2 linked regions of the Caenorhabditis elegans genome follow. The protein of the gene in region 1 interacts with the protein of each later gene in a pairwise test. Each region holds a gene or a part of one and is shown in the gene's direction. Other genes may lie near its edges.

Region 1 (7,063 bases):
CTACATTACTTGAATAACCCCACTTCCAATAAAAAAAAACTCCGGAAAGAAGAATTGCCACGTCATCTGTTTCTTTTTTCATCAATTAATGTTCCCTATCTTTTTTCCCTCTGTTTTCTCTCTTATTTCGGTCTCGGCGCCGCTCAAAAGCACTCGCAGAGTCGACCCAATGTAGAGAGCACACGATTCAGAGAGACTTAGACCATATGTGGCGCCAGGGCGCATTCCCTTCCTAGCACTGCGTCTCTTCAATTGGTTCAATCTCTCATAGTAATGTCCGAGAGAGAAAGAGAATTTCGCAATAGTTAGGGAACCCCCTATGGTTTTTTAAATAAGAATTTTTGAATATTTGTTAATTGCGCACTTTAATAACGACAGAGAGAACAATGCGATGTTTTTTGGCTAAACAAAATTCTAGAGAATCAAAAACGGATTCAGCCTAATTTTTTTTGGATCTAAAACGTAATCTGACATTATAAAATTTTTTATTCGAGCGATCCGTAAATTTTTCAAAAAAATCTTGGTTGCACAGGAAGACAGACGGGTGTAATTGCTATTTTCAAGCGTTTTTCAATGTTTTTTCGTTTTTCAATATTTCATGTTTTTGCAAACAATTTAGCATGAAATATTCTCACAATTTCACGAGAATAAAATTGAATAATATTCTCATTCAAAAAATAAAACTGGTTACGATTCCTAATTCTCAGTTTGAATCTAAAATGCAACGTAGGATCAATACAATTACTCAAGAGGAAATTCTAATTCGACGATAACAATTTTTTTAATTTGAAATTTCCATCAAATCTGCGCCCTACCGCTCCCTCTGTTCTCGTAGTTTCCCGCCGCTGTCCGTCCTACCAGCAAAGATCGACAGCTCCTTTTCTCTTTTCCTCTCTAACTCTCTAATGTTAGCGACCTTTGCGACGGATCGGCTTGTGTGGTGTCGGCACAGTTTGTCCCCTGTCGTTTCATTATCTGCGCTTCTCCACTCTAGTGTGCTCTCTCTCTCTCTCTAGTTGATCCCTCAAATTATTGTAAATACTCTTTTTACAGCTCTCTCTAACTACTCTAGGTGTTCCTAAGTTTCATTCAATCTATCATATTTCCTATCTTTTTGTGTCTCTGATATCTTCAGGTATGTGTATGAGTGGAGGGAATAGAATAGTAGAGAAAACAGTAAGTACATACACACATAACAGGAAGGAAGGAAAAACAATTTCAACATTTGTTTCTTTCAAATTCTTTGTTATCAGAGTTCCAGTTTCGCCTAAATCCCTGAATTCCCTTGAAACTGGAGTAGCTTCTTTGGTTTTTTTCCCAAAATGACAGAAAACAGTCTCAATACACCTATTATAAATCTAAAAAAGTTTATAGAATTGTTCTAAATTTTTAATGATTTTTTCAGGTTTGCAGAAATAAAAAAATAATAATGGCTTAATTATTTTTGAATTCTCGCACAAATGGTCATTTTGTTTTTTTTTTCGTTTTCCGGCTGTTTATATTATTTTGGCTTTCTTGGCAAACGATGTTTTATATCAAACATGAAGGAAATTTCCTCCTAGGAAAAACTAAAATGAAAAAATGTCGAAACTAGCTGATTCATTTGCTCGGGAACTCAAAAATAAATCCACTTTTTTGTTGCAAAATTAAATAAAAAATCTTGAAAAATTTAGAAAAATTCTATAATTTTTCCAGTTTTTTGGTATATTGAGGTCTTTTAAGCAAAGAAAATCCTCCAAATACGATACAACGCCTTTAATTAATTGAAGTCACACTCCATTATTCATCGCTAACATTAAAAAAAAACAAAAAAAAACAGATGATGATGTCCTTCGTAGATATCTCGAACTTCTCTCTATCTCTAATTCTACCATCTGCTTTTGAATTTCGAAACAACATTTCCTTCTCTGAATTGCCTTTTTTTCAAAACTACATTTTTTAGGTTTAGAAAAAACAATTTTATTTCAGAATGTCAGAACTGAGGAAACTCGAACTTGAACGTAAAAAGCAGAAATTGGCAGAGCTGAAATCTCAGCGGAAACGTGAAGAAGATGCTCGAGTTCAAAATCTGCTCCGTTCCACAAATGAAAATGGAACAACACAGAATGGAACGTCTCGACAGACTCTTTCATCGAATGAGGTATATTATTATGTTCTATTATCCCGACTCGAAATTTTTAGAGTTTTTGCCTAGAAATACTGTACCCGGTCTCGACACGACAATTTTTTATTATTTTTCATAGTTTTTCGTTTAAAATAATTAAGTTTTCCATTTAAAAAATTGCGAGAAAACCAATGAAAATTTCTGAAAATCGGCAGCAAAGAGAGTTTTAAACTACAGTAATTTTTAAAGGCGCATACCTTTTTGAAATTAACAAAATTTTGTCGTGTAGAGGCCTGACACTGTATTTTTTCAAACATTTCAGAATTTCGCGTCAAGAAATTGAAAATTAAACTGTTACAAGTTTCACAATCATATTTCTACTTTTTAACTAAATTATTTTTTAGGTCGAGGATATTCTCCGTCAAGTAGGTATTTCAACTGAGCCAACAGTTCGGGAAGAATCTCCGGCACCACCTCCTGGTTCTCATTCTGATAATCATGTGGATCCATCAGCCAGCCATCCACGCATTTCAAATCTCCTTTCAGTCGACTTGGAATTTTCCAGTGTACAGACAGCGTGCACGGATAACAAAGATTCGGTAAGCTTTATTTTTTTCGAGGGAAAATATCGAGAATTAATTTTAAAAACTCGAATTCCTGCTTTTTTTAATGATTTTAGTATTAAAATTTTCCAGGCAATTTACTCGAAAGGAACCCAGACTGACGATGAGCGAATTTCAGTCGGCGAATTTTCGTTAGGAAGCCAAGAATTCGATTATGATGATGATATGATTATGCCAATGGATCACGGTCAGTTCAGAGGTTTGTGCATGGTTTTTTTTTCCTGAATTTCAGTTTTACTCGAACACCATAATTTTAAAATTCATGGTTTCAGGTCGTGCTCACTCACACGATCAAGATTCCCCACTTCCTTACAACGAAGAAATTGCAAAACTTCTGGGACAGACAAAGCAGGGAGACAAGGGACTGACACGACAGGAGACTGAAGAGAAAAAGACACAAACTGTTCAGATTGTTCCACCACTTAGTGATGAAGAGAAATATCGTTTGACTCTTGATCCTGAGTTTTTGGTGAGTTAAAAAATATGAGGTTGGCATTTTTGTGAAAAAATATGTTTAACTGCCCAAAAGTTAATTCAATTTTTAATTCATGACTGAAGCTTATGGTTTTGTTTCCAGGACTCTTTCAATCGCTCTTGCAAAGTAATCAGTCGTGCTCTCAACGAGGAAATTGACATTTGTATTAACTACACTAAAGATCCATATGAGAAAGCTATTGCATCTGATGATCTACTTCATTTGGCACAAGTATATCAAGATGAGACATGGACTGCTAAACGATTAGTTACAGGAATGGCATTTTCTGAGCATTATCCTGATTTGTTAGCTGTTTCTTATGGGGTAATTAACATTTAAAACTATATACATGATTATTAATTTCCTTTCTTTTTCAGCCATGTGACATTCCAAATGAGCCACCCGGTGTTATTGTCGTTTGGAATACAAAGTCGAAGCGAATGACTGCTGAATTCATTGTCTATTGTCAATCTGAAATTCAATCCGTCGCTTTTGCTCGTTTCCATGCTCATTTGCTTCTCGCTGGATGTGAATCTGGACAGATTTGTGTATGGGATAATCGATTGACAAGTCGAAAGTTGCCAATAAATAGAGTGAGTTTTTTTTGTATTTTAAACTTTAAAAAACCTGAGAAAAAATCAAAGTTTCCTGTTGCAAAAAAGCGTTGCACAGAAAATGAGGCGGCGCGTAATTTCGCAAACCTGCTGCACGATTTTTTCTCTTTTTTCCCCCGTTTCAACTGCTCTTTTCAATAAAGTCTCGATTTTACTTTTTAGTTTAATTTTTAAATGAAAATATTATCATATACATAAATTCTCGTAAGTTATAAAAATATTTCATGTTTTAAAACCTATTTAGCATGAAATATCGTCAAAATCGTATGAGAATTAAATTGGACAACATTTTCATGCCAAAAAAACAAGTAAAATCGAAACTTAATTGAAAAATAAAAAAGGCAGTAGAAAACGAGCGAAGAATAAGGAGAAAAACCGTGCCGCATTGTTGCGAAATTACGCCCCGCCTCTATTTCTGTGCGACGCTGTTTTTTTTTCAAAATTTGCACATCAATCCTTCAATTACAACAGTAATGTTACTGTTACGTATCTTGAAAATTTTGAAGTTTTTTTTTTCAAAAAAGTTCTACGAAAATTGATTAAATTATTTTAATTTCTATCCGATGTTAACTCATTTTTCCAGAGTCCTCTAACAACTCAAGCTCACACGTATACTGTATCATGTCTTGCTGTCGTTGGTACCAAAAATGCTCATAACTTTGTTTCATTAAGTCGAGACGGACGAATTTGCAGTTGGAATGTCGATAATTTGACACAACCTGTGGATGGAAAAGAACTGATGACAAAGGAAGGAAAAGCTGTATGGTTTTTATCGATATTAAATAATTTTGAAACAAAAAATTCGAATTTCCAGGCTTCCGCCACCAGAATGTCATTCCCAATCGGTGAAATGCAAACATTTGTCGTTGGAACAGATACTGGAGAGATTCTTGCTGCATCAAGGAATGGAGCTGATCCAGCTGTCATTAAAACTGACGTTTGTTACAAAGGTTGGGATTTAGGTCTCGAAGCGACCGATTTTTCTTGAATTATTTTCAAAAAATTTAAAAGTACATCAAATTTTCAAGAAAAGAGGAAAAAAAATGAAGAAAAAAAATTCCACCAAAACTAGGAGTTAGCAACAAGGGCGTACTGTATTTTTTTTCCAAAAATCGAAAAAATTTTGAGCAGTCAAAAATGTGAATTTTATCTTGATAAAAATTTTAAATAAATAATTTCAGGTCACAGTGGTACTCTGACGGGAATTGAATTTCATAGAGCTTCTGGTGTTGTCGACTTCTCACATCTTTTTATTTCTTCATCTCACGATTGGACAGTGAAGCTATGGAGCACAAAAGATGCAAATTTAAAATTCTCATTTGAATCACATCCTGATCTCGTTTTGGATGTTGCATGGTCACCAGTTCATCCAGCTGTGTTTGCATCTATTGATGCTGATGGAAATGTGAGAGATTTATTTTTATTTTGACTGAATTTATAGAAATCGATCAGTAAATTTTGCAAAAAACAGCGCCGAGCAGAATTGGATAACCTTTACATTCTGAAAACGAGTAAAATCGAGACTTTATTGAAAAAATCAACAAAAAAGCAGTGGAATACGGACGAAAAAAAGGAAAAAAACTGTGCCGCAGGATTGCGAAAATACGCTCCGCCTCTGTTCTTTTTGCAAAATTCATTTGATCGATCGTTTAATTTCAACAATATTATATTTTAACGTTTTCAGATTTTCGTGTGGAATTTGAATGAGGATGTTGAAGGACCAGTTGCAAGACTTCGCGCCGGAGCCGAAGGAGAATCTGTTTATATGAATCGACTGATTTGGTCACCTGATGGTAAGAAGCAATTTTTTTTAATAATGCAAAATCCTACAATGAAACTGAATGTATTGGACTAAAAATTTTAAAATCCGTATTTTTCAGGAAAACACGTGTTCGTTGGTGATGATGAGGGTCGAGTACATATGTATGATGTTCGGGAAAGTTTGTACGTGTTGAAGAGCGAAGAATGGAATCGATTTGCTAGGTAAGCAGCTACCCGTTCCTCTTTCTACATGAAAAATGTGCAATTTTCAGAGTTTTATCTGATATGAAGCAATCGAATGAGGAAGCGGAGAATTATAACATGTAGACGAATGCGCGGTTCTTTCCAATCTTAACTTTAATCAGATTTTCTATTTATCATATTTAAATCATAGGTACTTGTTTTTTAAATCCCTTACAAAGCATATTTTCCCACGCTTTCTTATTGAAACGTGGCAACTGGTGCCAACTCTTCTTGTGTGTGTAATTGTGTGCTCTAAAAACGTTGCTCCTCTTTCTTCTCGGTTCATTTAATTATTTGTTGCTTATAAATATCCCCGCTAAATTTTTTTGTGATTATCTGCTATTTACTCAATTTTTTCTCGTTTTTCATTTTCTCTGAAAAACTTTTTTTCCTGACAGCTCTTCTTCCACGTCGTTTTCAGTTATTCCCGTTATTTTCCTGAGCTTTTTCTCTCCCCGATCACACTGATTCGACTTTTTTGCTCTAATTTATTAATTGATATTTATCAATTGTTTCTTTTTAAATGCTTCATACAGTCCCCCACCACAGCTCCCAATTGTTCTCTAAAAATGGTTTATTTGATTTCTTCTTTTCTTATCAAGTTTCGATGATAGCGATCAATGCGAATGAACAGTTTTATGAAAAAATCACCTTTTTTTTGTAATTTTGTTTCCATCAAAAAGCAGTAGTGAGAGCTCAATACAGTTTTGAATATTCATTTCTCAAAAGTGTTTCGCGGTAATCATACAAAATATATAATAATGTGAAATTGGGACAACGAGGGAATAGTTTTTAATTGAAAATGATCGCAGAAAGAAGAATCGATTGTTTTTTGTTTTGATTGACAAAAGAATGCAAATGCAGTGGGATTTTGATTGGGAGAGAAGGAGAGAAGAAAACATTCAGCGTATATTCAAAAAAAAACAGTGCCAGATTTCGATAGAAAATTGATTAAGAGAGAAGCTTGAAGGCGACGGATTCGTTGTGATACTCATAGATCATAGGTTGGAGCCGCAACTCAATTAAACTTCGAGAGCATCGCATATACACTATGGAATGTTTCTGGTGGACGCATCACGATTGGTGGACGAAGATGTTCTCCTTTGAAAGCATCGTAACGAACAGCAGCGAACTGAAAAATATAATAATAATGTGAAAACTATATGATTTATTATAAGGAGGCAGAAAAATGCCCACTTATAAATCGAAACGCGCTCCATAGCCAACTGAAAACGCTTCGCCT
Region 2 (3,319 bases), 660 kb from region 1:
TTGCTCATACTTTGTGATAACCGACTTCATTTCCCATTTTGAGGCTAGATCCAGAACTTGTTCAACTGAAAATTCAAATGATTGTAGTTTTGTGGTTAATTGTAAACTTACCATTTTCCCGTTCCATTTTGAAAGGAGGATGAAGAAAGTTCATTAGTTTTTTCATTGAAACAAAGGATTCAAATGGCATTATAATTTCAGCTAACTTGTTGTTTTCCAGTTTTTGCTTAAGAATCGGGGAATTCAAAGCAAGTATCTAAAAGTAACTTATGTAACTGAAACACAACTCAATTTAACTTACTCCAGAATTGGCATATATCATTTTCTTTCCATCTTCAGATCGAATCAGGACATCCAACCACTTGCTCTTCTTTTCAAAATCAATGAAATCTTCGATTGCAATTCCAAAAGATGACTTTCGAGTAATTTTCAGTTTCACCTGATTGTATCTTCGATCAATAGATTTAATCATGATCGTATTAACATTTGGAGAGAACTCAATTTCGTTTTTGATGTTGATAACCTTCCCTTCCCCAGTAAACTGAAGGTCCATCTGAGCCAAGAATTTCCAACGAAACAGACTTTCCTTCTCACATCTTATTTCAAATTTTCCGTTAGCTGTGTTCAGAACCGTCCAGAATCCAGTCAAGTGGAGTCCAAGAATGTTACAAATGGGAATTTCAACTTCTTCCCCGACTTTTGAGTCTTCTGGAAGTTTCAAAAGCTTGCTCGCTGTCGGAATTTTCATCGTAATATCGTTCATTTTGATTTCTGAAAAATTTCCAGGGAAAACTATAACCCTTTAAAAGTTGAATTTACATGTGATACTTTTGATCCAAATCACTTTGTTTGTTGCCAGAAATATTGTGAAATACATTTTGTTAGAGTGAATTTCTTAAAACCACGATTTAAATTTTTCTTCCACGTATTTCATATGAATTTCACTTTTTTTCCAGTTCACGTTCTTTCACAAAATTACAGTTCAAATTTTCAAAAATCTTCGAATTCTTTCAACACACTTTCTCCGCAATCCATCAACATTCCATTTGTTTCCCTTTCTATTAATTTCCAAATTTCCGCCTGCTTTTCAAATTTCCATCGGAAATTCAATCAAAAAGACAATTGATACAAATCTCAAAGACCTAAAGCCCCGACTTCCATTTTGAATGAGGTCAATTTCTTTGATTGACAGAATTTTTTAAAATAAAAAGGGCTGAAGTGAGAGAATGAAAAATCGTTCAAATTTGGGTTAAGAAGGTCTCCTCTGTCCACTTTCATTTTCGAATCTATTCATCTCATTTGCATTTGTTTTCTTCCTCATTCGTACCGGTCTCCGGTATATTGTCTTGTGTTTTTTGATTCATTTCATGACTCATTTCAACATATTTTTTGTGAGAACCGTCGTTTCTGTCTATTCCTTAAGACACCCACAAAATAAACAAATAAACCATTTGGTTTCGTTCTTTTTTCCAACTTTTCTCTGTTCCTGTCCACTATTAACTTTCGAAGTCTCGACTTTCGTGTAGTCGATTCTGTCCGCAAAAGGAGTTAATCAAAGTTCCGCAAATAAATTTTCAGATTAAAATGTTTCCATTATTCTCTCTCTTTTTATCTCACTTTACCTCTAACTCTAAGTTTAGCTCGTTTTGTTTCTGTGACTCATTTCTTTTCTCTCCTCCTCCCACTCAGCTGTTTCATTCAAAATTTCCGAAAAAAGTTCAGTGATAAGTGATAGGCGTGCATGTCTTAACCATCATATAAATACTTCTATCTATTGACATTTCTTCGGTACTTTCTTCGAATTTGATTTTATTTTAGTTCCTCTGCAAAACCATCGTAATAATCATGCCAAACTGTCCAAATTGCCAAAAACCTGTATACTTCGGTAAGTTGTTTTTTCAAGTTATATGTCATGATAACTGTTTAATTGTTTCAGCTGAACGAGTTTCCTCTCTAGGAAAAGATTGGCACAGACCATGCTTGAAATGTGCAAATAAAGCATGCGGGAAAACATTAAGTGCTGGAAGTCATTCAGAGGTATGTTTTTAAAAGTTAACTTATAGTTTTTGGTTATGGTAGGAGTACTACCCAAAGTTCTTTATCGTTTTTTTCAATTCAATCTATTTTGATAAACAAAAAAAAAAGAGTTGAATTAGATTTTTAAAATTTTTGCTGTACTATTGAGTTGTGGGTTTTGAAAAAGTACTTGCCGACTTTCAATTTTCAGTTTTCAATCAACTTCAAAAAAAAGTTTCTAAAAAATTAAATAATTTTCAGCACGAGGGTAAACCTTATTGCAATCGTTGTTATGGCGCTCTTTTCGGACCAAAAGGATACGGTCACGGAGGAACTGAATCACACACTTTCCTTCAAGGAACTACTGGAAATTAAAATTCATAATTTCGTTTGCCTGTTTTCCAAAGATGCTTCAAGCTCACATTCATCGCCTACTACGACTTCATAATGTCAATTATCTGGCCTAGCAAACTTTTCAAAATAAAATATTTTTACTGCAAAATCAAAATTTTGAAACAATGATGAAAGAATGAATGAAGACGACATGTAAAGAGTCATTGTTGACTAGGTTTTTGGGTGAGAGAGAAGATGACATTTTTAATAAAAAAAGAATAATATCGGACACCCGATAGTTTCTCCATACGATATTTACAAAAAAATGAACTGTAGAAAGTGGTGAGCAAGAATTTTTAAGTTACAAAAAAAAGAGTTTTCAAATTATTTTTAAAGTTTACAAAAAGAGAAGGAAAAGAAAGATGGCAAAACTGAAAAAAAAGTTAATAAATATTTGGATCATCATACCAATGACGGCGTTGATCTGTTAGACCAGGAGTGTATGAGTAACGATTGAGAGCGCTGGACGTATCACGTGAGGTTGAACCTGAAAATCTATCAATTAAAATAATAGGGTTTCTGTGAAATAAAGCACCTGGATATTTTCTATATTGGGCAACATATGGCTCGCGAGTTGTGGAAACCGGATTTGAAGATGTGTAGTTTCTGAAATTAATGGAATCATAAGTAGATTGTTAAGGTAACTTTTGATCACAGTTTAATGAAGTAGTACAGTGCGTCCAACTTCTATAGCACCCCCCTCCAATTGGGCGGTTTGGAGCTTTTGAAAATATTTTTAGGAAAAGTGTTAGTGCAGTTCGATAGCTTAGAAACTTGACTTGGGCACAGTTTCTTCTATTCTTCGACAGAAGTTTTGAAGTTTTTAAAAGGTTTTCTAAATTTCTCATAACTTCTACATATAAATACAGCTTTATATTATATGCTTAAAAATTCAAAGAGCATAGGTGGC

What was found.
Region 2: the proteins of dyci-1 (region 1) and valv-1 interact in a two-hybrid assay, tested with the Caenorhabditis elegans proteins (one large-scale study listed by BioGRID).

The regions. Positions count from the first base shown.
Region 1 is NC_003282.8:6,779,246-6,786,308, reverse strand, and holds dyci-1 (WD_REPEATS_REGION domain-containing protein), read left to right. Parts: upstream 1-1,968; 5' UTR 1,969-1,969; coding exon 1,970-2,140; intron 2,141-2,508; coding exon 2,509-2,703; intron 2,704-2,799; coding exon 2,800-2,926; intron 2,927-2,999; coding exon 3,000-3,196; intron 3,197-3,304; coding exon 3,305-3,526; intron 3,527-3,579; coding exon 3,580-3,795; intron 3,796-4,399; coding exon 4,400-4,576; intron 4,577-4,630; coding exon 4,631-4,766; intron 4,767-4,997; coding exon 4,998-5,221; intron 5,222-5,500; coding exon 5,501-5,609; intron 5,610-5,696; coding exon 5,697-5,799; intron 5,800-5,849; coding exon 5,850-5,904; 3' UTR 5,905-6,464; downstream 6,465-7,063. Other genes in the region: anat-1 (N-acetyltransferase domain-containing protein), read right to left, coding at 6,839-6,952.
Region 2 is NC_003282.8:7,443,834-7,447,152, reverse strand, and holds valv-1 (Cysteine-rich protein 1), read left to right. Parts: upstream 1-1,816; 5' UTR 1,817-1,845; coding exon 1,846-1,885; intron 1,886-1,936; coding exon 1,937-2,037; intron 2,038-2,277; coding exon 2,278-2,391; 3' UTR 2,392-2,514; downstream 2,515-3,319. Other genes in the region: B0496.1 (BTB domain-containing protein), read right to left, coding at 1-65, 112-256, 302-763; unc-82 (Protein kinase domain-containing protein), read right to left, coding at 2,793-2,896, 2,945-3,015.